Canis lupus familiaris: one gene and its partners. The protein of the gene in region 2 purifies or fractionates together with the protein of the main gene of each other region. This does not show direct contact. Links are inferred from orthologs where the notes say so. Each region holds a gene or a part of one and is shown on either strand. Other genes may lie near its edges.

Region 1 (4,799 bases), on a different chromosome or scaffold from region 2:
AAGGCCTCAGACTCACCCCTGAGAGAGGAGAGCGAAGGTACTCCTCCTCCATCTGCGCCTGGACCTCTGCAATCGATGTGTACTTGTGCTGGAGAGAGAGCGGGGGAAACACCCCTCATTCGCTGGCCAAAGCCGCACACCCTGGCAAAGACCCCATGCGGTTTTCTTCAAACACAATCTTCTCAAAGAGAGCTAACATCACCACAAAAATCCCTAACTCAAATCCTGAAATATTTTTCTAAGTGGACACATATTTCTTAAACCCAGTCTAAAAAGCACACAATAGATTAGGAAAAAACAAAGGAAAGAAGGGACTTCCAGATAACTAAAGAGATACGAGAAAACCACTAAAGGGAGAGTCAATGACTCAGAACCAAGTCCTCAAATAGCCTAATGGCACAGGGCCTGCTTAGCCCATTTGTACAAATCTCAAAAACGTATTTCAAAAACATATCATCAACATTTACACTCTTGACATGTTGTTAGGGGAGATACCTCTTCCCCACTTGATGTTTCCTCCCATGTGGAGGGATACGTGTGTGTAAAAAAAACTCCTGATCTCCCCTGCCCCTTTCCATACACTCACTCCTCTCCCTTCGCCGACTGGCAAGTATCAGGGAAGGAACAGGATTTTCTGAGCCCAACTTCCTTCTTTGAATTTCTCTTTAGAAAAAAGAAAAGCCTATGTTCTCTTCTGCTCCTCGATCAGGCTTAGCAGGGTTCCAATACCGCCTGGCCGTGGGTAGGTGAGTCCACCAACTCTGGAAGTAAAGCATTAGGGTGCATGTCGCTGCTGTGCCCTTTTGCCTCATTCTCCAGTCGCTCTATCAGCAAGAAAGCTGGTGTTTCAATCTCCATCTATCTACTCCTCTATCTCAATTGCCTTAGAGCTCGGGCTAGGAAAAGGGAGGGCTATTTATCAGGCCCCTTAAAACTCTAATTATCAAGTACTATCTTTAATAAACTCCCAGTTAAGTCTCCAACAAAAAGTCAGCTTAAATAAGTAAAACTTACAAAGAGCTGTTTTAAAGGGTATCACCACGGTCCACCCATGACTCCGCCCTAGGTTCCTTTGGGCAGACAATAGTCTTAAAAGGTTTCTCCCAAAAGGCTGCTCTCACTTTACTCACTCGGGACCAAAGTAGGTCAAAAGCTCATTCAATGCCACCTACCTGTTTCAGAGTCTTGATGCTCTCATGGATTGGCCTGGGCAGCCCCACCACTGTGTTGGTGTCACTGGTGAATAAAGAAAGCCCTGTTTTAAGCCCAGACATGAATTCGCCTCGATCCCCAAACACCAAAGGCCAGGAGAGTGAACTCCCAGTACCTTTCTTCAAAAGGAACTCAGATCACACTCACCTGCCTAAAGTGTAACCTATAAACTTGCTACGGCTGGACTCGAGGAACATCTCAATGTCTTTCTCTCTGCCAAAGAGAAAGAACCAGGTTTTTATTAAATGTTATTTCAAGGTGTCATGGTCAATAAAACACAGAATGCCCAAAAATGGTGAAGCCAGAAAAAAAGGTCTCCCACCATTGTTTTTCTTTTTAGGAAAAAAGAAAGAAGGAAGGAAGGAAAGGAGGAAAGGAAGAAAGAACTAAAATCCTTAGACTTTTTTTTTTAATGTCCTTTATAACATTGTTGGATCAATAACCTGAAAATATGTTACAGGTAATTAGTTTATCTGTAAAATTAAGGTACTACATCGAACTGAAAAGCACACTTTATTCAGCTAACAAGTTTGTCAAAAGAATTTCTCAAATATTTAAAGTTATTACAATTAGACCTCTCAGCTACTGATATTTTCACATGTGTCCTGGGTCCCTGTCTTAAACAATTGGCATGCACATCTTGCAGTTTTCTGATGACTAGTTTTGTATTGCCATCACAGATCACTGAAAACTGGGGTTTCAGATCAAGAAACTGACTTCTGTATTCTTTTGCACGTCCATCTATTTCTTAAGCTGGTGCCTTTTCAAACAGATACCACCTCCATTTACTTATGCAGGTACCTTCCCACCCACTGATTCATGCACACATATTTCAAACACCTTAAGTATGATCCTAAAACTCTTTTTTAATCTGTTAAAAACCACATACAATCCCAGGGTGAGAGGAGATGAATTCAGTTAAATGTCCTGGTTTTCATTTTTCCCTATTCTCCCTTTATTAGTATGGCTAACCAAGTGCTAACTCATATTACCAACTCAAGAGCCATACATGGGTCTCTCTGTGCAAGGCCAGTGCCCCGAGACCTCTGGGCCAACATGTGGTACTGTATAAGACAGCTTCATCCCAGAGCCACGGTTGGCCTGGCCCTACAGAGGACTTCCCATGGTGACTCAGGCCAGATGCCAGGCCTGGGGGTGGGAGATCTCTGGTTTCAGAAGCCAGGAGTGTGCCAGATGTCTGGGCCTCACCTGACCTTGGGAGCCCATGGAAGCCCCTTTGGGCAGGTGAGCCTGTCAGTCTGTGGGTGCTGCAGTGGGGGAGGCATCACTTCATCCCGTTCAAGGGGGAATGTCTCCCCCTCCAGACTGTTGTCATCATCATTCTCCTCTTCCTCTTCTCGAGAGTCATCAGCCTTGTAGGGATCCCGCTCGTTGAAGGCGTCCAAGTTGTCCTGTTTTATCAGCGCCTGAAAACAGAGGGACAAACCAAGCAACCATTAAGGGCAAGGAGGCTAGAGAGGCTCTATCACAGAAGGTAGTAGGCAGAGCCAAGGGCAGTGGAAAAGCCTGAGAGGAAGCCAAAGCTGAGCCAAAACAACAAAGGCCTTCTTGCCCCAGAGCCTCAAAAAAAGCCATGTGTGAGTACCTATAATAAACTGGGCCCTGGGCTAGAGACACAGAATCCCTGGCCCAGAGGCCTTCATTTGGACCAGCTGGTCAGAGATGATTTCTAACAGCCCTTTTCACACAGGGATCATGCTGCTACATGTCATGCACCTTGAGACTCTCAGGAGTCACAGGGGACATCGATTACCCTCACCTTGTGCTCCCGACGGCCCCGCTTTTGCTGCTGCTCAATCAAGTCTGAGGCAGACGCCGGCGGAGAGGCAGCCCTCATGTTACGGATCACCTTGATGCTGTCCTCAGGCAACGGAGGGAGGCCCAGGATGGTCCGCTTCTCAGCCTTCATGCTCTGCAGCTCCTCAAAGCCACCCAGTGTGCACTGCATCGTGGACAAGGGGCAGGGCTGGGCTGAATGCATCCATGAGTGGGTCCCTGGGCCCTGTGTTAGGCTCAAAAGCACATGTGATACCACGACCCACATCAATCTCTGAATAAGGAACTCACACGAGAATTCAGCAATGCCAAGGTGGGAGCAGAGAAAACGGACCAAGGGAAGGAGACATGGAGGCTAACTGAGCTAGTGGACATGTTTAGCTCCATATGTACGATATACTCTACATGTCAAAAAGGCAGACTGCAAAGCCTACCCTATCGGGTTCGTAGAAAAGTCCGTGAAACTCACATACTTCAAAAACTGTACATGCCGGTCTTTCAAAATCAAATTGGGGATACAGTTAGATACTACAAAAAAAAAGGAAAAAAAAAAAAAAAAAAAAAAAAGCTTCCTCTCATCATGCCCCTAGAAGCCAAAACCCCAGTGGAATTCAGCTTTTGCCTCTGGCTTCAGTGAGGCTTTGTGAGGAACCAAAGGGATGTATGACCAAAACAAAAGGTGCACATCACTCTAAAGATTAAGAGGCCCTTAACTCACTGAGCCTGGCTCTGCAGAGTTTGCCTGCTCTGGAAGGAGGAAGGTGAGCCCCAGGGGGAGGAGGAGTCCCAACTGCAACGCTGCTCTCTGCTGAAATCACTCCTCCAGGTGGGAAGGGCGCTGGGCTTGGCTGCTGACAATGGCCCCAAGCCAAGGGTGCTGGCCAGTCCTTCCCCAGCCAGAAATGGGCTCCATACCACACCCTGAGGAAGATGGCACTAGCACAAGGCTCGCTCTTGCTTCCTTCAAGTGACCTCTGACTGAGGGGACCCGATTACACCAGCTCTAATTCTGCCTCCAATCACTTTATATGCTCCAGGTTCAGAAGCAGCCTGGTTGGAAAGAAGGCATTTTAGGGCTAGAGAAGCAGCTTCCAGGAGTCAGGGAGCCCACAATCTATTCCGACCCAAGGGCCAAGTCCTCTTTGACCATAGTGAGACAAAAGTGTCAAAGCAGTTAGTTATATATTAATTCACATATAGTTTTTCACATAATTCAACATTTAAAAAGATATACAATGAAAAGTCTCCCTCCTGCCCCGATCCCTAGGAGCTGAGTTCCCCTTCAAGGCAATGCTCACCAACACTGTCTTCCAGAGCAGCAAGAGAACTTTCTTCATGGGGAAGTGAGGGGCATGGCCGCTGCAAAATTTGGTCACCATCCCAAACAGCATGATGGCAAATGGTTCATTGTTGTACAGGGGGGAACCTAGAGGGAACACTAAGGGATCAGGCCCACCAGCAGGAACAGGACCCTCCCAAAGGCCAGAAGCCTCTGCTTCCAGGCAGGGCCTCAGCACCCCAGGATCTCTAGGGGCCTACCCAGCTCAGCCCTGAAGGTCTGTCGTATGGTCCTCCACTCAGCCTTATCGCCCTCACATTCCTGGTGAACGGTCTCCACAATCAGGTACATGATGTTGAGCAGGACCCTGGGAACAAGAGCCAGCTCATAATGGTGCAGAATGGGGAAGCAAGGGAGTGTCCCAGCTTCCCCACAGTCTAGCTGACATGAGGAAAGTGCTTGCACAAAGGCTAGCTGGGGGCGAGGGCTGTGACGCAGAGAAAACCAAGAG
Region 2 (4,799 bases):
TGGCACAGACCGTTGGACACAGGGGTTAAGGTGGGAGGCCTGGTCCGAAGACCTTCCTTTCTAGACATGAAACCCCCAGAGACCTACCATTTCTTGGACTTGAGTCTGGGGGGTGGGTTCCGTGGGATGAGGAAGAGGGCTCGCATGGGGTGCATGTCACACAGAGCTGGCACACGGGAGGGACACCATGAGTCCCTCTCACAGCCACAGAGTCTGAAGGAGCCCTGCCCACTGTGACCTCCCCAGACCCATGCCCGCCCCCCACAGCCCCTCTGGGGCTCCCTCCATGCCCAGACTCCTCACTTACGGGGGGCCCCCTCTGCCATCTCGATGGCTGTGATTCCTAGAGACCAAATGTCACTCTGCAGAGGGGGGGGGGGAGGAGGGACAGGGGCATGTTCATGACAGCCCTCCTCACCCCACCCCCTGGGCTTCTTCAGGGATGCCCCCCCACCCCACCCCACCCCATCCCTCACTCCGTACCCTGTAGTCATAGGTGGCATCGGGGTTCTCATCACAGGCGATGACCTCTGGGGCCATCCAGTAGGGGGTCCCGATGAAAGTGTTCCGCCTGCCCACAGTGCGGTCCAGCTGAGCACTCACCCCAAAGTCCACTGGGAAGACACAGAGGGAGGGGTCCTAACAGAGGGCCGCATCTGTTCTATCCTGGCCCCCACCTGCATGTGCCCCAAGGGCAGCACCCAGACTTTCCCTGGCACCCCTTCCACCCCATCAGCATCCCGAAGAGCCTCACCTAATCTCCCTGTGTCTTGGGGGAAAACCAATGGGCGAGGGCCAAGGGACAGGCAGGAGGAGCCGAAACGTCCCACCTCCCCAGAGGTATCTGGGTCATGCAGGGAGCAAAGGAAACTTCTGGAGTGATTTCCAGCAAGGGGCAAGGCCTCTCAGGGCAGGAGCAAGACTCCCAGCCTCCAGGCAGGTGACATGAGCCAGCAGGGGGAATGAGGGGCCTCACACTCAGTCCTGGAGGTCAGAGGCCCCACGTGCGTACCTAGCTTGACCTCGGCGTTCTCTGTCAGCAGCACGTTCTGCCCTTTGATGTCTCGATGGATCACCTTGTGGGCATGGAGATGGGCCAGACCCTGGGGCAGGAGGGCACGGGAGTGTGTGGACGTGAGCCGCGAAGAGGGGCCGACCAGGCTGGGCCGAAGAGGCGGCCCCTCCCCATCCAGGAGCCCAGGCACAGGCTGCATCCAAGGGGACTGTCCTGAGAGCAGCAGTCCCTGGAGGTCTCCTTGTGCCGGCAGGGCAGCTGTGAGGCAGCGGAGGCGCCATGATGGTTCTCCAGAGCTGGGACTCCGTGTCTACCCTACCCGCCCAGCGCCGCTGATGCCTGCGAAGACGACACGGCTGCGGCCTCCCTCCGCGGCCTCCCTCCCGCAGGCAGGCCTGGCCTGGAGCAGGGGGAAGTGGGCGCTCACCCGGAGAATCTCCCTGCAAATGTAGGCGATACAGTCCTCCTTCAGGGCATTCCCCTTTGTGTTCTTCACTAGGTCTGTCACGGAGCCAGCCCCACAGAACTCCATCACCAGCTACGGCACCAGGGAAAGAAAGGGGAGCATCCATCAGGCAGGGCCTTCCGCCCCTGCCAGCCACCCCACCCCCCCAGAGGAGGGCACAAATGGTGTGCAGACCAGGGGACACTCCTTGTGGAAGCCAAGGAGCTCCCTGAGCCAGGGAGAGGAGGCCATGCAGCGGCAACAGGGCAGGCAGGGCCGACGGATCCCAAGAAGGCGCCCTGGGAACCCTGGAAACTGTAGCCAGAATGATGGGCATGCACGCATTTCCCTCGGGGGGGGGGACATGCTTTTGTCAGGTCCCCCTGGGCACCCTTCACCCTGAAACAAGAACTGCTGCCCTGGAGTGTGGGTTGGCAAACTTTGGCCAGGGAACTAATAAATGTGTTTTTTACATTTTTAAATGGTTGAAAAAAATCAAAATATGGATCATAAAAATTTCAAGTCTCAGAGTCCTAAACAAAGGCTTCTGGGACACAGTGACATTCCTATCTCCGTTCATGTATGCAGGGCGTATATGGCTGCTCTCATGGCTCAGCAGCCAGGGTGAGGAGCTGTGGCAGAGACTATAGGGTCTACAGACCCCCGACACCTACCACCAGGCCCTTCACAGCAAAGAAGTTGGCCAAGGCCTAGCCCAGAGGCAAGAAAGAGACTAAGAACCTGCAACTCTCCAGGCCTGCTGTAGGCAAAGCAGCGCGCCTGGCCAGGGGGCTACAGGAGGGAACCTGTGGAGATCCCAGTGGGACCTGCAGAGGCCGTGGCCACGTCAGCGCCCCGGGGATTGGGAGGCCCGTCCAGGTGTTTCACTGCACAAAAGCCACATCTGATGCAGAAAAAGGCTGGAGGGGATGTGTGTACATTCAACAAGTGATATGGAGACTGCCTGTTGTGCATCTATGCCCAGGGCTCTCCCTCCAACAAGCCCAGGAGAGGGGGTGGAGGGAAGGACAGGTGCCCAGTCAAGCAGCTAGCCTCTGGTCCCCGTGATCGCCCACTCACACACAGCTGGCAGGTAGACCCCAGTGGAGTGTTGCCCCCCTTGCTTTGGGTATAGTGTGTTTGAATGCCTTGGAAGCAGGGTACACAGAAGGCACTCAGTAAGTACCTGTCTGGCAACTGGTAGGAGGGAAGACCTAGAATGAGCCCCAAGCCCACCACCACGGCCACCACGCACCCTAAGCTCTCTTCCTGGGGGCTGGGGGCTGGGCCGTGTAGCAGAAGGGGCGAGGCTGGGAACGAGCCCAGGCCTGGGAGGGCAAGGTCTCTCAGGAATGTTCTGGGCCAGGAGAGAATCTGGTGGAGGCCCAAAGGAGCCACAGCGAGTTTGGGTTAGACAGATTATCTGGAAGGGTGTGCACTCCACCAGGAGCCTCCGAGCCCTGCCACACCATGCACAGGGATTTGGGGACATGGCTCCCCCGCGGTTTTGCGTGAAGGCAGGACCAACGGGCTCACTACCTTTCCCAGCACGTGCGAGGGTTATGCTGTCACTCACTGTGTGTCACGCACAGTGTAAGCTCCTGGTCAGGACAGAGGCGTAGGCAAAGCCCAGGCCACCTTGGCCACCCAAACAGAGGCCACAGCATGTGGGCACTCCACGTGAGTCACGAGGCGCTGTGCATCCAGAGGCAGGGGACTTGTGAGGGAGCCTGGACACAGGGAAGTGGGGACCACTCACCCAGAGCTGGTCGTCATTCCCGGGGGGGCTCTTCTTTATGAAGGCCCCATAGTAGGTGGCGATGTTACGGTGGTGAGAATATTTCTTCAACATGTTGATCTCCTGTTTGATCTCTTCCTCCTCATCCTGGGGACATGGGAGGAGTGAGCCCAAGAGCCCCCAGCCCTCCTCAGGGCCCTGCCCCGCCCTCTGCCCTCATTGCTCCCTACCTCCGTGACATCCATGACCTTGATGGCAGCCAGCTGCCCAGTCTTGACGTGCCGACCCTGCAAGACAGAGAGCCAGGTGTGGAGGGTCTGAGTCTACAACCAGGGACGGCTTGATTCTGAGGCAGGACACACCTTCTGGCTCTTCTCTGTCTTAGAAAGTGTCCCTGTGGCGACTGGACACTTCACTTATGGGTCAGGCACAGGGACGGGCACAGGCTTCCAAGAACAACTATAGAGCCTGGAGTCCAAGTGCTAAGCTGAATAAAGATGAAGGGTTTCTGGGATGCCTGGGTGGCTCAGTAGTTGAGCATCTGCCTTCAGCTCAGGGCGTGACCCCAGGATCCTGGGATAGAGTCCTGCATTGGGTTCCCCGCAGGAAGCCTGCTTCTCTCTCTGCCTGTATCTCTGTCTCTCATGAATAAATAAATAAAATACTAAAAAAAAAAAAAAAAAAAAAAGATGAAGGGTCTCCTCCCCTAAAACAGCTTAGGGACACACGGCAGAGTCACTTCTGTTCTGGACTTCCCACAGTTTGGAAGCTGAGAAGGAAGTAAAGGAGATCCTTCCCCACTGGAGGGAGCTGGGAGCAGCTGGAGGAGGGGCTCTGCCTCTCTGGCACCTTCTATGCCAGACAAACTGCCTCCTGCATTCCGGCCCCGGCCTGCCCCAGTCAGGAAGCCTTTCCCAGAACTGTCCCCCTCCAAGGCTTGCTTGCTTGCTTTCTTTCTTTCTTTTTTTTTTTATTATTTTTTTATTTTTTTATTTTTTATTTTTTATTTTTAATTTTTATTTATTTATGATAGTCACAGAGAGAGAGAGAGAGAGAGGCAGAGACACAGGCAGAGGGAGAAGCAGGCTCCATGCACCAGGAGCCTGACGTGGGATTTGATCCCGGGTCTCCAGGATCGCGCCCTGGGCCAAAGGCAGGCGCTAAACCACTGCGCCACCCAGGGATCCCTCTTTTTTTTTTTTTTTAATTTATGATAGTCACACAGAGAGAGAGAGAGAGGCAGAGACATAGACAGAGGGAGAAGCAGGCTCCATGCACTGGGAGCCCGACGTGGGATTCGATCCGGGGTCTCCAGGATCGCGCCCTGGGCCAAAGGCAAGCGCTAAACCGCTGCACCACCCAGGGATCCCCCTCCAAGGCTTTCTATTATCATTGGCAGGACAGAATAAAGATAGAGTTGGGATTTTAGGGACCTCTGGGAAACACAGAAGGCTGACTGGCCTGGCAATGCCCCATCCCCGGTGCTAACGGGAAGTAACTTCTAGGGTACATCCCTGGCATCCCTCATCCACCCCCTATCCTTCTGACATTCCTCCAGGAACCATCCCAGCCCTGGTCAAGGAAGTCCAGGCTTCCTGGGG
Region 3 (4,799 bases), on a different chromosome or scaffold from region 2:
CATGATGCTAGGTGCTGGGGCCACCCAAATAACTAAGACACAGTACTATCTTTGTCTCAAAAGACTCTGTGGTAAGTACAATAATCGTGACAGACACCAGTTTCCATGGAGAGTAACTGGAGTGAGTGAGAGCTTCCTGGGGAGAATGGCACCTCAAATATATAGCCATTGGCCACTCAAAAGCTAGAGGGAACCCACTGCTGGCAAAGAAGGCAGTACCAACAAAATCATGAGGGCAGAAAGGACATGTGAGGGAATTTATCAGCATTACTGAAGCATGAAGTTTAAGGCAGGAAGTAGAAGAGATGCAAGTAACTAGATTAAGGTAGGATTTCTTTTTTTTTTTTTAAGATTTTATTTATTTATTCATGAGAGGCAGAGAGAGGCAGAGACATAGGCAGAGGGAGAAGCAGGCTTCCTGCGGGGGGCCCCATGCGGGACTCGATCCCAAGACCCTGGGATTACGCCCTGAGCCAAAGGCAGATGCTCAACCACTGAGCCACTCAGGTGCCCCTAAAGTAGAATTTCTACAACATATTAAGGTACTTGGAAATTATTCTGTAAGCAAAATGAACCACTGAAGGGTTTTCGAGGAGCAGTAGGTTTAAGTATTTAATATGGTAGCTATCACTGTAGTGCAGAAGACAGACTGGAGAGAATCAAGATGAAGGCAACAGGACTGCTTCAGTAGACTGGGAGAATGATGGTGTAGACCCAAGAGAGGACAGTGGTAAAAGAGGCAAAACAGAAAGGGTAAATTCAAGAAATATTTAGGGGGTAATATAAAAAAGACTAGGTAATTAATAAGGTGTGGATAGTAAACAGAACAAGACAAAAAGGATAACTTGTAGGTTTCTAGTTTGGGTAATTTTGGTGGTGCCACCACTAATAAAGAATATATGGGAGAAGAAACACAACACTTGTGGGGAATTTATGGACAATGAGGTGGCCACTTTGAAATGTTCTGTAGGCAGTGTGAGGCTTAAAGAAGAGATTGATGAGTCAACAGCATGCAAAACCATAGAAGTAGATTCAGTCTACCAAAAAATATGTGTACAAAGCAAAGAATGAATAGGTTCTGGGCCTTGATAAATGCCAATATCTAAGGTGGGAAAAATAAAAGTTTAGGAAGGATAGGAGACAGAAATTGTCACAGACTTAAATGTCAAAAAAGCCAATAATGGACACATTTCCAAAAGGATGGAATAATCTACAGTTTCAGATAGCCAATATATCTAGCAAAATAAAGACTGTAAAATACTTCTTGGATCAGCCAATTAGGGAGTAACTGATAATCTTATCATATTTAAGTGGTACAACCGATGATAGAATGCACAGTGATGATGCACAGGGAAAGGACATGGAATTAGTAACTCTTGATTGCATTTTCTAGTCATTACCACCAGAGACAGATGATGAAGAAAAAGCCACACACAGGAAAATGGAATCAAGAAAAGGCTTTCCTTTGCCCACAATAGTAGTTACCTGAATTTACTTATATGCTGAGGGGATAAAAAAGAAAAGAGGGCAAGGCTTACGATGAGATTGAAACAGAGCAAGAGAATCAAGTTCAGTCTCACCAGAAACAAGAGAGAATGAGGTCAAGAGCAAAAGGGGAAGAACTGGTTGGCCTGGGACAGAATGAAGACAACTGATCCTCTTGACAGAGAAATAAAGGAAGTAAGGAAAAACACAAAGGGGGTTTATCTTTCACAAAAGATATGTTAACTGCTTATTAAATAAATGTTGGGAAAATTTTTTTATTGAATTTCTTAGGTTTGGTAGTAAAATTAATCTAAAGTGAAAATGAAAATAAATATGGTTTTAGGACATATATGACACTACACTTCATTCTAGAATTTAAGAAAGAACATAAGAGGAAGCCAAAATAGTCAATTCCTAGACAGTTTTTGCAAGAGAATTAATTAATGGTAACATATAGTGATAGATTATAATGTGGATTTACGTTTCATGGTACTGTTCCCAAGACTAAAAAAGGGGGCACTTCTTACTTTTTAAGGCTTTTCAAGTATTTTGGTGTCATGGAGTTTAAACCATGACATCATTAACCTCTACACACTCCAATAATTGATCAAGAAGAGATTCCAACATTCATTTTCCTTCAGTTATTTGTCAAGAATAGGAATGAAACATGATTACAGATTAGTAATAATCTATCAAATAGTGTACAGATGCCTATAAAATGAAAAAAACAATTGTCAATCAAGCCAGCATTTCCAATCAATAAAACTTTGGAGGGGAGGGGTAGAAACTGCTTTTTCGGGAATAACATTTTTTTTTCTTTTAGCATTATATATCAAATTGATTCCTAAATGCAAGAATCCTTTTTAACAAAATAAAGACCTTATTCTCTTTTACCAATTTACTTTTAAAAATATCTCATTTTATCCTTGTATATGCTATGGAAAATGTGTAAAAAGAAAACAATTTATTCTTTCATATCTTCGGGGAAACACCTACCATAAGAGTCATAGGGATCAATGTTGGGGTTGGTGGTATTCCAGCCCTGGATCAGTCCATCAGTACCACCACTGTAACACTGCTCACCATTGCTGCTCATTACCACACAAAGCACTGGACCTCTGGGAGATAAAAATCAATTTCTATTCCCAAAAATCAATCTGATAATAGGACTTGTTAGAAATAAGAATGCTTAATTATTCATATGGCTATTTTTCTGCTTTTTACAATAAATAAAAATACTATAAAAGCATTGCTCATTTTTTTTCTTCTGCTAAACCAGAGATTGGCAAACTATAGCCTGTGGGCCAAAGGCAGGCAGTTTTTATACAGATCTCAAGCTAAGAATGGTTTTTACATTTTTTAAGGGGTAATTAAACTAAGCTAAAAACAAGAATATACAACAGAAAATATATGGCCTACAAAGCTGAAAAAGTATTTACTATCTGACCCTTTATATGAAAAACATGCCAATCTCTGTGCTAAATCAAGTGAGTTAGTGTATTTCTTAAGCTTACATGAAAATAGGAAAAGCATGCAATATTATCATTTAAAAATTCTTCATATTTTTACCTAGATTATTTTTAAGGGAAAAAAAGGTCAGGATTTTTAATATATAAACCTTATTGCATCAACATATTTTAAGCACAAGATATGTAACATTTTAAACATCGTCCAAATAAAATCTAATTTCAGCAAGGATCTCTGGTAGGAATAAAGTTGTTTTTAACATTGCATTATCTGCCAGTTTCTTTTACATTTGCCAGAAAAAAAAACAAACAAAACCAAACAAAAATGCTACTAAATACAAAAAATACGTAACATAAATACTCAAGTGAAAGAAAATAATCAGGCTGATATACAGTGATGCTGACTTAAAACAGAGAAAAAGCACATACTTACTTATGAGCCCTGAATGTATAAATAGGTTCCACATCAAGAGAAGTACTCCTAAATCAGAGAGAGAGAGGACTTTTACCACTCCAAGTTTCAGTAGTAAACAGTATTAATGAATATATGCTGCAAAATTGCCTTTAGAAATACCAACACTGTAGTAATATACCATTCTCAACCTAGGACACTTAGGAAAGTTTACCTGACACCAATCACATATTTCTGTGGCCTTAAGAAACAAAATCCTTGTTTAGTAATAATACCTGATTATAGTGCTCTTAGCATTGTCATAGTTTATTTGACTATTTGAGAGAACCACACTCAGAAAACAGCATGGGCTTTGAGAAAAATTTCTGGATTCAAATAACTGGCTAACTCTAGGCAAATTATCTATTCTTTTGAAACTTCAGATTCCTCTCTATTTAAAACAAAACAGAAAAACTGGGATAATATCAAATACAGGATTAAATGAAATTCTGTAAGTAAAACAGCCTAGGACAGAACCATGCACACAGTAGGATTTCAATAAATGGTACTTTAATTTCTTTGCATTTCCATCAATGCTAATATGACTGTCTTTGATACTTGGATAAATTGTCCCAGTCATCAGTTTATTCAGTATTCAGAACACTGAATGTATTGATACTCTACATTGCCTAATACTGGCCATGACTGTAAATTGAAACTGGATTTAAAGTCAACTATTTACCATCTCTTATATTGTATTGAAGCTTTTTATAGGCATATGCTTTCTCTCCTCAAGCATTTCCAAAATGTTAAGCTCAAGGTAAACAGACCATGTTAATGTCTGTTAATGTCACAGACCATGTGAAGGTATTATTACTAAGCTATCACCAGCAAGAAACTTGTTTCAATATTTTTCTAAGTTTTAGTCAAGAATATACGAGGCATTCACATTCTCTGATCTAATGAGATGCACACTGTAACCAGAGAAGTAGAAAGACAAAAGGCACAATTTATAACTAAGAAATAATTTTTCTCTGCTGAAGATATCTGATCCAAAAAGGATTCTCTTGGTGTCAGCAAGATCTGGTTGAGCTATCTGAAGAGGAGGGATAAATCAAGAAATCAAGTATTTTATCTAGTCTACAGATGACTCACAGTGGGAATGTCACTGATCTCTCAAATTCAGCAACAGCTATCCTCTATCAGTAATAAAACTTCCATAATCTCCTCCAGTTCACATTTATTTCTACTCTTCTAATAATAAAACTGTCTGACACTGGAGAAAGGCCCTTGTGGGCACATGCTGGGTTCTAGACCACCAGATTCAAGGACACAAGAACAGGGACTCCCTGTAAGCACCCCAGCAAGTGGGGCTAAGACTAGTTTGGTGACTGATAAAAGCGTCTATACCAACCCATGTCTGTTCATGCTTACAGAGGAACAAAGGGACCAAGCCA
Region 4 (5,514 bases), on a different chromosome or scaffold from region 2:
TTTTTTATTATTTATTTTTTTAAAGATTTTATTTATTTATTCATGAGAGATACAGAGAGAGAGGCAGAGACACAGGCAGAGGGAGAAGCAGGCTCCATGTAGGGAACCTGACATGGGACTCAATCCCGGGGCCTCCAGGATCACACCCTGGGCTGAAGGCGGCACTAAACCCCTGAGCCACCAGGGCTACCCCTGATCACATTTAAAGATGGGGAAAAACCAGCACAGACAAGTGAAGTCACTCATTCAAAGTCACATAGCTGGGAAACGGTGGACTCAGGATTTGACCCACAAAGCTGGCCCCCAGTCATGTTTTCAACCAATAAACTCTGCTGTCTTTCTTGGGTCCACTCAGACAGCCCAGCTCACTGTCTACCTTCAGTGAGTATTCTGCAGCCCTAACCCGATAGGTGCTTTTCATCAACTCAACCAACAGACAGATATTTCCTAAGTACCCTCTGGGCCAGACCCTGTGTTCTGGGGACAGGGAGAGAGCGAGGCAGTCATTGGGCAGGCCCTCCACAGAGAGGGAGACAAAAACCACAAACACACACCTTACAGATAGGTCAGGAAACCAGAGAGGGGTGTGAGAGAGAAAAGGTGGTCCGGGGAGGAGAGGACAGTTAAGCTGAGACTTTGTCTCTGTTCTCCACAAAACAATATAAAAGGATCCAGATTCACTTGAGGCCTAGGTTCACCTGGCCCGAGTGCTGCTCTAGACTGAGCCTTGGCTGCTCCATCTGTGGCATGGGAACACGACAGGCAGAGAAAATGAGAGACGTGGGGAGGGCAGTTTCTACACGAGTGCTGGTGACACTGAGGAACTTCTTACCTCTGAGGCTGCTGTGGGAGCTCCGGGTGGGTGGTTCCAGCCCAGCTCAGCTGCATTGCTGAGGGAACAAGAACCAGAAAACCCCAAATCAGCCAATTTTGCACAGGAGAGTATGATTTCACCTTACCTACAAAAGTGGCAATGAGAAGATCAGAGAATCTTTTCTCTTGTTCCATAAGCTCACCTACCATCTGGAGTGTCTAGGGAATGGGTGGGAAGGATGTCAGTTATCATAACGACCTATAACCATCCCCTTCTTATGAATGTGTCCAGAAAGGTGGGGCTAGAAGTAACCAAAGCTGTTACCATGACAACCACAACCCCTTCCCTAGACATACTCCATCCTGAGACACAATCCTAAAAGGTCCCATACCTTGGTGAGCTTTGCTCTTAGGGTCTCTGGAAGGGGAGGACTGCCCATGTTACCATAGTAACTAGGGGTTAGCTTTTCCCCATTTCCACCTCCTGGTCCAGGCCCTGTAACCATAGCAACCACTCCTCAGCAGAGCATCTACTCCTCTAAATAAAAACACCTGGTTGGTTTGGTCCTGGCTCTCACGATGAGAAGGAGGGGGATGGTTACCATGGTAATGCCAGCTGGGTGGCTAGGGGGAGGGGTTGGGAAAGAGGTGTTCTCTCAGCAAGTCAGCGTCCCTGGGGCTAGGGTCCTCTCTACCTGAGCGCTAGGTGAGGTTGCCATAGTAACCAAAGAGCCGGTAGGGGGGAAGGACCACCAGGGACTTAGGTTACCTTAGCAACCTCCTCCTGGTGCAGGGACGGGAGAGGTTTGGCGCTCCATTGCCACAAAGGGGGAGGGTTACCATGACTACCGACCTGAGCCAGGAACCAGAGAGGATGGGGCCATTGCTGAAACCACCCCTGGTGGTCGTCCTTTCTTTCAGGGGGACAGTGGCAAGGAGAGTGACATTTGGGTCTGGAGGGGGTTGGAACGAAGCCGGAGGAGAGGGGGCGGAAAGCGGCTCTTCCCAAAGTCCTGCTCTCCCCCCGGCGCGACCCTCGCTCTGGGCCTGGGTCTCGTTAGCCCTCCTCGCGGCCCGCGCCTCCGCCCCGCCCCTTCCCCCCGCCCCCGCGCGCGCGCTTCGGGGTCGACCCGGGTGGGCGAGGCGCGTGCCCGGCCACGTTCCCATCACCGCCCCCCCGACCGGCCCCCGCCGAGCGCGCGCGCGGGCGGGGGGGGGGGGGTGGTACGGCCGCGCAGGCGCGCGAGGCACAGCGGGCGCGCGGGCCGGCCCCGGGGCCTCCATGATGGAGGAGCGAGCGGCCGCCGCGGTCGCCGCCGCCGCCTCCTCCTGCCGCCCGCTCGGCTCTGGCGCGGGCCCCGGCCCGACCGGGGCGGCCCCGGCCTCTGCCCCTGCCCCGGGGCCCGGCCCGGCTGGTAAGGGAGGCGGCGGCGGAGGCAGCCCCGGACCTACGGCGGGCCCCGAGCCCCTGAGCCTGCCCGGCATCCTGCACTTTATACAGCACGAGTGGGCGCGCTTCGAAGCGGAGAAGGCCCGCTGGGAGGCCGAGCGCGCCGAGCTGCAGGTGAGCGCCGCCCCGGGACCCCCGACCCCCCGCCCGGCCCGGCCCGGCCTCACCCGCCGCCGCCGCCGCCGCCATCTTGGAGCAATGGCCGCCGGGACGGCCGGGGGGGCGGGAGGGGACCGCGACCGGCCCGGAGACTGAGTGAGGGGCCGTCCGAGGGGGGTCCTGAGGGCGCCCGGCGGCTCGAGGCGGGAGCGGGGCCCCACAGGCGGGAGGATCCGACCGGGACCGGCCGAGAGGAGGGGCGCAGGGGACCCGAGCCGGCTGAGCGGGAGTGGGAGTGAGCGGACCGGCAGACGCTCCCTGGAGAGGAGCCCAGGACTCAGCGGAGGGTGGTGGGAGGACTCGGGGGGCCTTGTTGGGAGCGAGCAAAAGCCCGAAAGGTGCCGCGGGGCTCCCACCCCGTCCCCGAGCAGGTGAGGGGTTAGAGGTGGAACCTGATGGGCTTTGGGTGAGAGAAAGGGGGCGTCGGGGGGACTTGGGAGCCGCCGAGGGCGACAGTGAGTCGAGTGGGGAGAGGAAGTCAGGGAGCCTGGGACGGGGTGCGTTTAGGAGCACTTGTCCGGGGTTGGGGGGAACTGGAAGATGGCTGTATGAGCACTTGGGATGAGAGAAGGGCCTCGAGGGGTCCCGGCAGGAAGATGTGTGTCCTCCCCTCTAAGGAAGGAGGAAACTTTGGGGAGCCCTGGCATGTGTGGCTATGGAGTGCAGGCGGGAGGGGTACCGGGCGAGGAAGCGTAGATAGGGCCAGGACTTGCTCCAGGAGCCTGTATGGAAGGGCTGCAGAGCTGAAACTCCAGTCTGAGGGGTGTGGAGGAGTGCGGGGTGGGGGGGAAGGCCTTGAGATGGAGCTGTGTGTAGGATGCCTGGTGGAGAACTCTGGACTGGAGTGCGGTGCTGGCCAACGTGGAGATAAGGGGCCCCGGGCTGGAGAACAGGACTCACAGTGGGGGATACCTGGAGGATGGCAGGGCAGCATTTTGCAGAGCAGGCAGGCAGTGTTGAAGAAGCATCTCAGGACTCTGAGAGAGGATGTGTCTGCAGAAGGTTCCCATGGTTTGTGGAGTAGCTTGGGAGAGGAGTGTGCCCTGAGATGAAGTTTATTAGAGGCTGAGGAGTTGGGCTGGATTTCACGACCTTGAGAAGTGTGGGTCTGCTTGCAGAATGGGTCTGCTTGCAGAGTTTCGGGAGGATGGGGCATCAGAGTTGTGAGGATTTAAAGGGATCCAAGAATGGGCCCTGAGGACTCTGAGGGTTCCTGGGCTGGGGTATAATTAGCAGAAACCGGTATCAACTTCTAGCAACTCAGTTTTCTCCTTCTGGTTCACAGCTTCCTGTCTAGTTGATATGGGGGCACCAAATAAATAACTTAAAAATTTTGTCCAGAGGATGAATGAAGAGACATTCCATAATTCTCCCCCTCCCTCCCCCACCAGGGATCTTAGCTGTGTGATAGCTGAGGCTTAGCATTGAGGTAGGAGAGGAATCCTTATGTAAGTACCCCTTACTTTTGTGTTCAACTCTGTTCCCAGAGCTCTTTCCCAGCATACATCCAGCTAGATCTCAGTACCTCATTATGGAGACCGGGCAGGTATCATAGTCCTCACTCAGCAGTAATGACAGCAGCTGTTTATTGAGCACATATGCAGTGCCAGGAACTGTATGAAGCACTTTAGATACATGGTATCATTTAATCCTTCTAGGATGGTGAGTGATCCTATTCCCCCACCCTTGCTTTTTGAGAAAAGAATCAGAAGAGAAAGGGAGGCTCTGAGAGAGAGAGACAGTCTGTGATTGCTCTACGATCACAGCCCGTGGGTGGCAGGGCTGCTAGCCCATTCTCCATACCTCTCTGCTGCCCAATACAGATGAGGAAAATGTTCCACAGAAGCCCAGTGGCCTCTTGAGAGTCATCCTAGACAACAGTCATAACTAGACCTGGGATTGAATCTTGGTCTCTGGGACTTTATGCCAGTGTACACTGCAGCACCCACCGTACCACCTTCTCATGTTTGAGACTAATGAAAGAAAAGCTGTGGGGCAGCCCAGGTGGCTCAGTGATTTGGCGCCTGCCTTTGGCCCAGGGTGTCATCCTGGAGACCCAGGATCAAGTCCTGCCTTGGGCTCCCTGCATGGAGCCTGCTTCTCCTTCTGCCTCTCTCTCTCTCTGCATCTGTGAGTAAATAAATAAAATCTTTTTTTTTTTTTTTTTTTTTTTTTTAAAGAAAAGTTGTATGTTTATCCAGCGGCCCTTCTTGGAGTGTGAGAGGAACTTGTAGATAGCACCCAGTTAGGCTGTCCCATGTCTAGGCTGCCACATCACGTGTTTTATACTTTTGTTTTCCTTTTGTTCTGTCCCATTAGTGGAAATGCAAAGGTCTCAGAAGTATGTGCATATGTACATATATATGTGTGTATGAAAAGAGAAAGCTCTCTCTCTCACTTTGTCCCTTTCCTGCCCTTTTTTTCCCCTAAGATTTTATTTATTTGTTTGACGGAGAGCATAGGTGGGGGGAGGGGGGAGGCTGGAGATCCCAGCCTGGGATCATGATTTGAGCTGAAGGCAGATGCTTAACAGATCAGCCCCCCAGCCCCCCCACCTTCCTGCTCTTCTCTGTAACTGTTACTGCTAGAAAAGTAGTTCAGCTCTATGTGTAAAATATGAGGTCACATACATATCATTTTGTGACTTTTTGACATACTTGTTTCTCGTGTCACATACTTGTTTCTCATGTCTTGGTATTCCTTTCCTATCAGCACAGAGAGCTTTCTTACTGTTCTTGATCACTATGTTTCACCTGCTGTTTGTACCATAGCTCTTTTAGTTGACCCTTGCTGATCGGCTTTCAGCTTCTTTCCAGCTTTTCCCCCATCAGAAATGGCTGCAGTGAATATCTTTATATTCCCATGTGGGTATAAAGCAGAATAGGTGGGTGGAATGGTAGAAAGCTATGTTATAAAATGGTGATTGGTTCTGCCACGTTGCCCCACAGTTCCACACACTCCCATCAGCGGCACCTCTTTTTACACACCTTTGCCCGAACACTTAATACTTACAGAGGTGTGACTTCTCTTGTGAGACCCTTGAAGGCCGGGTCTGTGTCAGACTTTTGTGAGGAACCCTGAATACCTTTTCT
Region 5 (4,799 bases), on a different chromosome or scaffold from region 2:
AGGCTCCAAAAGGAATGTTGCCCTACTAATACCCTGACTTTAGCTTGGTGAAACTGATTTACAATTTCTAAGTTCCAGAACTACAAGAGAATAAATCTATGTTGTTTTAAGTCACCAAGTTTGTGGAATTTGTTATGGGAGCAAGAGGAAATACACACGCAAAATATGTATAGTGCACAAAGTGCCCTAATCTTCAGTGTATCTTAATAAATTTTTACATATGTACACATTTATGAACCACAGCCAAATTAAAATATGAAAGCTTTCCAACACTCCAGGAAATTCTGTTGTGCCTTTCCTCAGTCAGTATCCTTCCTTGAGAGGGAAGCCTGGGTGGCTCAGTTGGCTAAGTGTCTGACTTCGGCTCGGGTTATCATCTCAGGGTCCTGTGACAGGGCTCCACATCAGGCTCTGTGCTGAGCGGGGACTCGGTTTCTCCATCTCCCTGTGCCTGTCCCCCTGCTCTGTGCGTTCTCCTCTCAAATATATAAAATCTTAACAAAAAACCAAACCACCCTTCCCTGAGAAGTAAACAGTATTCAGACTTATCCCCACTGACTGGTTTTGCCGCTTTTTTGACTTTCACAGAAATGGAATCATTAAATATGAATTCATAAATGTGCTGGCTTCTTTTGCTCAATATAATCCCTATGAGTATCATCTATGCTGCACATATCAGTATTCTTCCTAATTATTGTGTAGTTTATTTGTGGCTATACTACAATTTATCTTTTATGAATACTGCTGCTATAAACATTCTTATACATACATCTGTGATGTATACAAGAGCTCATTTCTCTTGGATATATACCCAAGAGTGAGACTGCTGGGTCAAACAGTAGGCTTGTGTTGATAGTGCATACTGCCAAATAGTTTCCCAAAACAGTTATACTATACACTCAATTACAGGGACTTTTTTTTAAAGAAACACCAATGTCTAGACTTTACTACCCTAGAGAATGATTCAGTAGGTCAGAGATTGGACCTGGGCATCTCTAGTTTTAAAACACTTCAGTGGGGTGCTTGGGTGGCTCAGTCAGTTGAGCATCCAACTCCTGATTTCAGCTCAGGTCATGATCTTGGGTTGGGCTCTGTGCTGGATGTGAAGCCTGCTTAAGATGCTCTCTTCCTCCCTGCTCCCACCTCCTGCACTCCCCCTTCTCAAAAAACAAAAATAAAAACCACTTCACAGGTGATCATTCCACACAGCCTTGATTGACACCCTGTGCTTTACTGAGTACCTACTATAGCAAGATGTTAGACTAAGTATTAAACATAAAAACTGAATGTGGGGACATTTGGCTCAGTGATTGAGCATCTGCCTTTGGCTCAGGTCGTGATTCTGGGGTCCTGGGATTGAGTCCCGCATCAGGCTCCCCACAGGGAGCCTTCTTCTCCCTCCATCTACAGCTCTCCCTCTCTCATGAATAAATAAAATTAAAAAAACCAAAACCAAATGAACCCCCCCCCGCCAAAACCCAAAACTGACTGTGGTAAGGTTTCGGCTTGCATGGAGCAAATAAGGACAAGTCACGAGGTATTAACCATACCAGGTAGGATATGTCATACAAGCTAATGGGAACCTATATGTGTTCAGAATGCATTAACTTTAGTAATAGGTAAGGAATGTAAACAAGGGAGAGATCATTAAGATGGCATTCCTGAAAAAGGGAGAGATGTCACAAAAGAAATGGTTTTTTTCCTATCCCATCCGTAAAAAACCAACTTGAAAAACCTATTCATAGGAAACCACTGATATAAGATGACAGAGTACAGTTGTATCCATTCTGATCCTGTCCCAGAAAGCCACTGAAATTAACAAAACGCCCTAAAATTAGGGAAGAAACAAAAGAAAAAACACACACATAGATCCCTACATCACTTACTTTTGTATGTTTAAGGAGAAAAATGAATGCAGAGGTATTAATACCTCCCAAATATATACATCCCAGACTGGGTGGAAAATATTCGGAGGTAAAATACTTGATTGCCAATCTGGGCAGCTAATTGGGGGCTCAGCGGTTTAGTGCCGCCTTCAGCCCAGGATGCGATCCTAGAGACCGGGGATCAAGTCCCACGTCAGACTCCCTGCATGGAGACTGCTTCTCCCTCTGCCTGTGTCTCTCTGCCTCTCTCTCTCTCTGTGTCTCTCATGAATAAATAAAATCTTAAAAAAAAATAAAAAACTGCCAATCTGAGCTCCTACCACCATCACTCTTTCCTCCATTATTTTTATTTTATTTTATTTTTTATTTTTATTTACTCACGAGAGATACAGAGCGAGAGAGAGAGAGGCAGAGACATAGGCAGAGGGAGAAGCAGACTCCCTGCAAGAAGCCTGATGTGGGACTCGATCTCTGGACCAGGATCACACCCTGCACCAAAGGCAGATGCTCAACCACTGAGCCACCCAGGCGTCCCTGAATTAAAAATTAATTCAATGTGACTGAGCATACTTTAGAAGTAGAGGTTGATGTTGCTAAAAATAGCAACATGGAAAAGTAGCCTTGAGAAAAATCACATGACATGAAATAAAGAAGTAGAAAGCTATTAAAGGGAAAAAAGGATAGGTTGGAAAGATACACAATGTGGCATAACTGATGTTGCTGAGAGGCCAGAACAAATTAAAAACTATAAAAATTAATGAGACACAAAGAGGATACTCTTCCAGAAAAAAATTTGATATAAGATTATTAAATGAACTTAAAAATAATAAAAAAAAAGCTTACAGACATCCACACAGAAAACGCAAGTTCACCAACAAAAGGAAAAACTTGGGCTGGCCCAAGATTTCTCTGTATACTCAATATCAAAGACATCAGTGCTATGGCAACATAGTTCTGACAAGGAGAAACGAGGTAAGAATTTTTTACCCAGTCATGGTGTCATTCATAGAAAGCAAAGTAAGCAGAAGCTCAAGTATACATATACTTGAATATGCATAAAAAAATGCTTGGAATGATACACCCATGGAGAAGTAGGTTCAGAGAAAAGGGAGAAATTTAGTTTTTAATTTTATATTCCTCTTAAGGGTCTGGGTTTTTAAAAGATCATTTTTTAATAATTTTTATCTAAAAGAGAAAATATATACATAGAAGTTTCAGAAAGTCTAAAGGGATGCAGAAAATGCTCCTAGGAGCATAAAGTAGTCCAAGAGCCAACACAATATAGAATCTAAGTTGAAAAGCACATACCGTTTTAGAAAGTTCACTTCCAGATTCCATAATGCGCAAACACAAAGGGATAATTTCTGTTGTCAATAAAAAGTTGATTACTTCTTGCTCATCTGTTTTCACTAAGGCCCCTAAAGGAAATATGGACAAACAAAATTATTTTACAGTCAGGTTTTGAATTAAAATTTGGGGCGCCTGGGTGGCTCAGTTGGTTAAGTGTCCTGCCTTTGGCTCAGGTCATGATCTCAGGGTCCTGAGATAGAGCCCCAGGTCATGCTCCTTGCTCAATGGGGAGCTTGCTTCTCCCACTCCCTCTGCCTGCCCCTCCTCCTGCTGTGTCCTCTGTCAAAAACAAACAAACAAACAAAACAACAACAAAGACCCAACAACTTTATTTTTTTAAAAAAGATTTTATTTATTTATTCATGAGAGACACAGAAAGAGAGGCAGAGACACAGGCAGAGGGAGAAGCAGGCTCCATGCAGGGAGCTTGACGCAGAACTCGATCCTGGGACTCCAGGATGACACCCTGGGCTGAAGGCGGCGCTAAACCTCTGAGCTACCTGGGCTGCCCCCACCCAACAACTTTAAAATTAACTTTGTAGTGTTCATCCAGCTAGCTGTAGAACTTAACTAACAGAGAACAAAAACTGTGGTTCATTTCAGAGAATCAGATTCATAATGATGTTAAAGAAGAAATAAAAAAACAGGAGGAGGGTAGCCCGGGTGGCTCAGCGGTTTAGCACTGCCGTCGGCCCAGGGTGTGATCCTGGAGACCTAGGATCGAGTCCCGCATCGGGCTCCTTGCATGGAGCCTGCTTCTCCCTCTGCCTGTGTCTCTGCCTCTATCTCTCTCCCTGTGTCTCTCGTGAATAAATAAAATCTTAAAAAAACAAAACAAAACAGGAAGAGAAAACAGAGGTTGACTGTCATCAGTCAGCATTTGAAAGATCAGATACCAAGTTGGGTCCATCACATAATTAGCAGCAGGTCAGCCATCTAAATCATTTTTCTATAACTCTTGGTAGACAGCCACACAATAATATCATGATCTATTCTCCATTTATTTTATGTGAGAGAGAAGAATTCTGTATCAGTATAAAAAGATATTCCCACGTAGCAAAGAAATGGTGCCAGTTCGAATCCTACTTCACAATGGACATAAACAAACACTGCTTCTTGGTTATTTAATTGTCACTTTCTCTACAGAGTGCAAATCTGGTAGGGTTTACCCAAACAAGAAGCATACACACACTTCAACTCTAATCCTAATTCCACAACTAGTTTACCTAAGTTTGATAGAGTTACCTTCCCTTTATAGGTCTGTTTATCTATAAAATAAGAGTTGATCTCACAATTCTGAGATGATGACCTCAGCTGAAATCAAGAGTTGGGTGCTTAATAGACTGAGCCCCCAGACACCCTAAAAAACCAACTCAAATTCTTATCTCTGTAATAATACTTTTGTTGTTGTTTTTAAAGATTTTATTTATTTTAAATGCAGAGATGGGGAGGAGAGAGAGAGAGAGAGCAAGCACAAGCAGAGGGAGCAGCAAAAAGAGAGAGGGAGAAGACTCCCTGCTGAGCAGGGAGCCCAATGTGGGGCTCAATCCCAAGACCCTGGGA
Region 6 (5,390 bases), on a different chromosome or scaffold from region 2:
TAGAAATGAAACATGTACTGAGAAAGGGACTGGGTGTAGGGGCTGAGTAAAAAGAAGATAGTACAATGACTACCAGCCCTCAGGTTTGGATGTAATGCCATTTAATAAGATAGGTAATAGAAGAGAAATAGTTTTTTTTTTTTTTTGGAAGGTGGGTGGGAAGGAAAATAGAAGGATTATCAATCTAGTTTTTACTTAAGCTTGAGGTACCAGTGGGAAATATAAGTACTCATGTTCTTCTTTTGATGCCACATAACAGAGATCAATTACATCTACTCACCTACATTTCTTTGAGACATATTTGGAACTTTTTCTTTTCTTTTTTAAAGATTTTATTTATTTATTCATGAGAGACAGAAAGAGGCAGAGAAATAGGCAGAGGGAGAGGCAGGCAAGGAGCCTGATGTGGGACTCATCCCAGGACCTCAGGATCACATCCACAGCCAAAGGCAGACGCTCAACCACTGAGCCACTCAGGCACCCCTGGAACTTCTTCTATACTATGAGGCCCCTCAAAAAAGGAAGAGGACTGAATAAGCAGGTTTTATGCTGGTCACTATAAAATGGAAAAATAGTACTTAAAAATATGGAGAAACAGTTTTTAATAATATGTGACCTAAGACCTCACTCATTTCATAGACAAAACATGGCAGCAGGGGTAACAGATCATCACTAAACATAGTAAGAGTAGACATGATTAAGTAAGATGTACTATTTTAGTCTTTTTGAAATTATACTTTGAGTGGTGCTGTGCATTACACAGTGAGAGTTTTACTGGTAGTAGAGAAGAAAAAAAATAATGCGATCAATTTTATGTGCAGTTTTCCCGCATAGCTGTAATTATTGAACCTTTTTTCCTTATTACATTGTTAAACATTATTCTTGTCCTATTTTTCAACCAAGTGGTTATTAGCTATATTAACTTTCTTTAGAAACACAGTAGTTCATTAAGGATGTTTCCTGGCAACCTAAGCATATAAAACACACACAATGGTACTTAAAAGATTAAATGTGTCTTTTAGGTGTATATTACATTCATTTAAACATCATTTAATGACCCAGGAAAACATCTTCGCGGCTGTTCATCTAGGATTTTATATTGTATTCACGACGCTTTTATTTTGTTTTCATCACAAGATTCCATGAATGCCACCTGTGAACCCTTTCATTCTAAAACACCGAACTGTTCGTCTAACAAGTCTCCTTCAAAGTTACCTTTCTCTCTCTCCCCCCGTACCATCGTCAAGATCTAAAGCTTTTCACTATTCCTTCTCCCAAGAAAAAAATGAAAACATTCACTCCTGCTCCTCCCCCCCCCCCCCCCCGCGCCAACCCACCCCAGAATAGGAGAAAGAGGGGCGGCAAAGTGGAACAAGCTGCGTCCCGCGCCCGGGAGCACGGAGCTAGGACACCGAGACCCGCAACCAGTCACCGTGTCCGGAGGGGGCTGGGCTATCTGCCAAAAGAGAACGTCCATCCCCAAAGCCTCAGGAATGACGGGTACTTAGAGCGAGTGACAAGCGGAGGAGGAGGCCCGACCCTCTGGGACGTCCTGAAACACGCCAGGAATGCGAAAGAAACGCCAGGCATCCCGGGCGGGCGGCAGCCGGCCAGAGCGCCCAGCAGGTTACGACGGTCCTGGAAGCAGGCATGCGGCTGGCCCCGGGGGGGGGGGGGGGGGACGACGCTCAAGGGGCTGCTGACTGAGCGAGGGAAACTGACGGTTGGGAGCGCCCGAAAGTTCGGGTGGGTGTCCCGCAACACAGCCCAGCCCAGAGGCCGCAGCGAGGCACCGGGGCAAGCCGGAGGAGCGCCTGGGGGCGGGGCCAGAGCCCCACCCCGCCTCCAGCGCCCTCACGAGCCCTCAGTACGCCTGCGTAAGGCGAGGCCGCACTCTATTTGGCTGCTAGGCGCGCGGCGGCAGCGGCGTTCTCTACCCGGCATGCTGCGCGGGAGCGACGGCCCTACGTCTCTCCCCTTCCCAACCCAGCCCCCTCCCCCCTCCCGCCGCGGCCCCCCCTTTCCCTAAAGTGAGTGAGTGAGACGGGCAGATGGAGGAGGGACTGTAATGGCGGCGGCCGGCAGCTCCCTGCTCTGACCCGCGGCAAGCGTACGGCAACGACCCCCTCCTCGCCCCTCTCCCAGGCGGCCTCCGCCCCGCCGGCAGCGCGGGGCCACCCTCCCCGGCCCTTCCCCCAGCCGTCGGCTTCTCGCCCTGCGCCCCGGCCGGGGCCCCACACACAATGGACGAGCTCGCCGGAGGCGGCGGTGGCGGCCCGGGGATGGCGGCCCCTCCAAGGCAGCAGCAAGGACCTGGGGGGAACATGAGCCTTTCGCCAGGGGGGAATGGAGCGGCGGGCGGCGGAGGTCCTCCAGCCGCCGAGGGAGCGGGTCCCGCGGCAGGCCCGGAGCTGTCCCGGCCGCAGCAGTACACTATCCCGGGGATCCTGCACTACATCCAGCACGAGTGGGCTCGCTTCGAGATGGAGCGGGCGCACTGGGAGGTGGAGCGGGCCGAACTGCAGGTACCTCGCTGGGGTCGGGGTGCGGGACGGCTGCGGCGGCGGGGCTCCCGGCCGGGGGGTGGGGCCGGGACTCCCCTCGGTCGGAGCCCCGGGCCTGGGGGGCTGGGGGCAGCCTACCTGTGCAGCTCGGGGGGCGGTAGTCCTGCCTACGGCTCTGGCGACGGCTCTCCCGAGGGCCCCCCTCCCCCTTTCCCGCAGAAGCTTGTTCCCCAGCCCTTGCTAGCTGCGCGGTGCGGGCTTCCTTGGGGCAGCCATTTTGACTTTTAGTATGGCGTCTGCGGGGGCTCCTCTGGAGGCGGCCTGCCGGGCCTCCGGGGCTTGGGGCAGAACTCCTCTCAGTGGGAGAGTCCGGCGTGGGGTGACGGGGCGCGAAGCTTGCAGCTGACTGCGCCTTCTGCGAGGGAGAGCCCGAGGGGAGGGTTTGCGATGGGCATTTCATTACCTTTTCCTTTTTCACCCCCCTATCCGATTTGGCGTTTCTTGGGCCCCTCTCCCGTAGTTGGTGCGCACTTGCCCCTTGACAGCCACGCTTCTTTCCAGGGCTGCCACCGAGCGTAGTGTCCTGCTGCTGACTTGGGAAGTTGACGTTTCCTACCGCCAACTTTAAGTACCTTCTTACCTGGGATGCTGCCTTACTTAGGTTCCCTCCCGGTCAGTTCTTCCCAAGCGACTGACTCATCATCACTGCTTCTCTAAATTGAATTTTTCTTTCGGGAGTACCCTTCCTTCCCCGGGCCTCCAGCCCCTCCTTTAGCCCTGTGAAGCCGAACCAGAGTCTCTCTGCCGTGTTTAGGAAACAACCGAGGAACGATTTAGTGTTACCTTGAAGTGTGACACGTACTTGTCCCACGTTAACTGACTCGCGCAGGGGAAGCAAGGTTAAATATCCCCAGAATCCTTCATAATTGAGCCTTACTTGATCTTTTAAAGGTGAAACTTTGCTAGGCTGGTTCACCTAACTTGTGGAGGAACGTTGGTAGTTGAAGAGCTCACGTCTTGGATTTCAGAATGGCTACATCCTTTTAAGAGGATTGTTCAACTCTTGGGTACTTGTGTTTATTTTTAAATCCCTTTCCAGGGCAAAATTAGGCTTAGAAGGAAAAAGCATGCATCCAAATAGTGTTGCACCTGTTCTTCAGACTGGTATATATTTAGAATGTAAGTAGTAGTGTTCGCTGATATATATATATATCATATATGCCTACGGTGAATAGTTAGGAAGATACGGTGTTGCAGGAAGGAAGACTGGATTAACTTAGGGTGTCTTCAAACAAATATATATTTTTTTAGTTTAATTTTGAATTAGTTATCTTTGATTCTACAAAGTTAGTGAAGCTAAACTTTTAAAAAGGACTTTTATATATCTTGACACTTTATCAAGTCTTCATATCTGATCTGATTCTTTTTTTTTCTGAATTTTTTAATTTATTTATGATAGTCACAGAGAGAGAGAGAGAGAGAATGGCAGAGACATAGGCAGAGGGAGAAGCAGGCTCCATGCCCTGGGAGCCCGATGTGGGATTCGATCCTGGGTCTCCAGGATCACGCGCTGGGCCAAAGGCAGGCGCTAAACCGCTGCGCCACCCAGGGATCCCTTTATCAAGTCTTCAAAAAACTTAATTATAAATTAACACCTGTTAGTCAATTCAATGTTTTAGAATTGTGTTTTGATATACTGTAGGACTTTTAAAAATAGAACTTTCCAAAAGCTTGTATCATAATTGTCTGTAGTTTCTTTTTTCTTTTCTTTCTTTCTTTCTTTCTTTTTTTTTTTTTTTTTGTAGTTTCTTTTAACTTGTATGTATGTAGTCTAGTTTAAAATATCTGGGATTTATAGAGTTTTGCTGATAAACAACTTTTTACTACACCATGTTGCAAACAGTATACTGTATGAAGATAATAAGACGGTTATTTTTAAAAATTGCATTTAAAAATGCACTGAGGCTTAGACTCACTAAATAATACCTCACCAGTCCCTGGATATAGTGTCTAATGACCTCTGCACTGTTGTATGAAAGATTGGTTTTTTTTTTTTTTTTTCCCCTGCCCTAGAGGATGAGACATTTATTTTGCCCTGTAAGCACCCGAAAGCTTGGATTTTAACACTTTGTAAGTTAACAGTGCATTAGTCATTTATAAGCTTCACTAATTTAAGTATCTGAGGAAATAGCTTATTTGTGTCTAAATTAAAAAAAAAACCTATAATGAAGTCTATATGTCTGCCTTAGCCCTTTCTTTACTTTTTAGTTCTCTTTGCCAGTAACAGTGAAGTCTTTTAAGGAAGATTCCTTTTGCTTGTTTGCTTTCCAGTTGATCTGCTATTGTAATACTAGTTCTGATAAAGCCTTTCTAAGCTTTTTTTGTTTGCTTACTTTTAAGAAGTTCTACAGTGTCTCTAGACTCTTAGTTTTTCCTGGGATTTTCATTATTTCACACTGATTCTTTTGAAATGGAATGTGCATGATTCTGTTTGTTTTTGTTCTACATATTTTTCTAAAATGTTATATTGGGTTACTTAGTTAAAAGGGTTTCAGGTTTGTTTCTGGAATATCGAATTTGCTTTAGGTACTTTCAGTCTTTAATAAGATTGCTTGTGAGATGCACATTTAACAGTGTATATGTCAAGGGGCACCTGGCTGGCTCCCCTGATAGAGCATGTAGCTCTTGATCTCCAGGTTGTAAGTTTGAGCCCCGTGTTGGGTGTAGAGATTACTTAAAAAAATAAAATCTTAAGAAAAAAATGTGTCAAATAAAAAATTTATTAAGGTTTCAGTGAAGTGTCAACGGATTTTAACTGTAAACTTTATTTTTAGGAATGATAATGTAGAAATAAGAGAGCTTAAATATTATTTTGTGTATAGCCTC

The links.
Region 1: the proteins of MINK1 (region 2) and STRIP1 purify together in Homo sapiens (affinity purification with mass spectrometry; 3 studies listed by BioGRID and IntAct, with this or other methods). This does not show direct contact. The link is inferred for Canis lupus familiaris from reciprocal best matches to the Homo sapiens genes MINK1 and STRIP1.
Region 3: the proteins of MINK1 (region 2) and STRN purify together in Homo sapiens (affinity purification with mass spectrometry; 3 studies listed by BioGRID and IntAct, with this or other methods). This does not show direct contact. The link is inferred for Canis lupus familiaris from reciprocal best matches to the Homo sapiens genes MINK1 and STRN.
Region 4: the proteins of MINK1 (region 2) and STRN4 purify together in Homo sapiens (affinity purification with mass spectrometry; 3 studies listed by BioGRID and IntAct, with this or other methods). This does not show direct contact. The link is inferred for Canis lupus familiaris from reciprocal best matches to the Homo sapiens genes MINK1 and STRN4.
Region 5: the proteins of MINK1 (region 2) and CNOT9 purify together in Homo sapiens (affinity purification with mass spectrometry; 3 studies listed by BioGRID and IntAct, with this or other methods). This does not show direct contact. The link is inferred for Canis lupus familiaris from reciprocal best matches to the Homo sapiens genes MINK1 and CNOT9.
Region 6: the proteins of MINK1 (region 2) and STRN3 purify together in Homo sapiens (affinity purification with mass spectrometry; 3 studies listed by BioGRID and IntAct, with this or other methods). This does not show direct contact. The link is inferred for Canis lupus familiaris from reciprocal best matches to the Homo sapiens genes MINK1 and STRN3.

What each region holds. Positions count from the first base shown.
Region 1 is NC_049227.1:42,377,677-42,382,475, forward strand, and holds part of STRIP1 (striatin-interacting protein 1), read right to left. Parts: intron 4,656-4,799; coding exon 4,549-4,655; intron 4,436-4,548; coding exon 4,308-4,435; intron 3,176-4,307; coding exon 2,993-3,175; intron 2,640-2,992; coding exon 2,422-2,639; intron 1,426-2,421; coding exon 1,360-1,425; intron 1,237-1,359; coding exon 1,173-1,236; intron 89-1,172; coding exon 17-88; intron 1-16. UniProt on the Homo sapiens protein: Plays a role in the regulation of cell morphology and cytoskeletal organization. Required in the cortical actin filament dynamics and cell shape. Part of the striatin-interacting phosphatase and kinase (STRIPAK) complexes.
Region 2 is NC_049226.1:31,925,776-31,930,574, forward strand, and holds part of MINK1 (misshapen-like kinase 1), read right to left. Parts: intron 3,486-4,799; coding exon 3,429-3,485; intron 3,346-3,428; coding exon 3,220-3,345; intron 1,554-3,219; coding exon 1,443-1,553; intron 1,104-1,442; coding exon 1,013-1,103; intron 615-1,012; coding exon 484-614; intron 363-483; coding exon 308-362; intron 167-307; coding exon 88-166; intron 1-87. UniProt on the Homo sapiens protein: Serine/threonine kinase which acts as a negative regulator of Ras-related Rap2-mediated signal transduction to control neuronal structure and AMPA receptor trafficking.
Region 3 is NC_049238.1:29,441,819-29,446,617, forward strand, and holds part of STRN (striatin), read right to left. Parts: intron 3,433-4,799; coding exon 3,385-3,432; intron 2,604-3,384; coding exon 2,482-2,603; intron 1-2,481. UniProt on the Homo sapiens protein: Calmodulin-binding scaffolding protein which is the center of the striatin-interacting phosphatase and kinase (STRIPAK) complexes.
Region 4 is NC_049222.1:109,881,368-109,886,881, forward strand, and holds the start of STRN4 (striatin-4), read left to right. Parts: upstream 1-2,095; coding exon 2,096-2,377; intron 2,378-2,430; exon of another isoform or gene 2,431-2,468; intron 2,469-5,514. UniProt on the Homo sapiens protein: Calmodulin-binding scaffolding protein which is the center of the striatin-interacting phosphatase and kinase (STRIPAK) complexes.
Region 5 is NC_049258.1:25,078,339-25,083,137, reverse strand, and holds part of CNOT9 (CCR4-NOT transcription complex subunit 9), read right to left. Parts: intron 3,305-4,799; coding exon 3,195-3,304; intron 1-3,194. UniProt on the Homo sapiens protein: Component of the CCR4-NOT complex which is one of the major cellular mRNA deadenylases and is linked to various cellular processes including bulk mRNA degradation, miRNA-mediated repression, translational repression during translational initiation and general transcription regulation.
Region 6 is NC_049229.1:10,486,577-10,491,966, reverse strand, and holds the start of STRN3 (striatin-3), read left to right. Parts: upstream 1-2,038; 5' UTR 2,039-2,243; coding exon 2,244-2,525; intron 2,526-2,642; exon of another isoform or gene 2,643-2,910; intron 2,911-2,967; exon of another isoform or gene 2,968-3,110; intron 3,111-3,144; exon of another isoform or gene 3,145-3,290; intron 3,291-3,347; exon of another isoform or gene 3,348-3,501; intron 3,502-5,390. Other genes in the region: small nuclear ribonucleoprotein-associated protein B'-like, read left to right, coding at 1,486-2,029. UniProt on the Homo sapiens protein: Calmodulin-binding scaffolding protein which is the center of the striatin-interacting phosphatase and kinase (STRIPAK) complexes.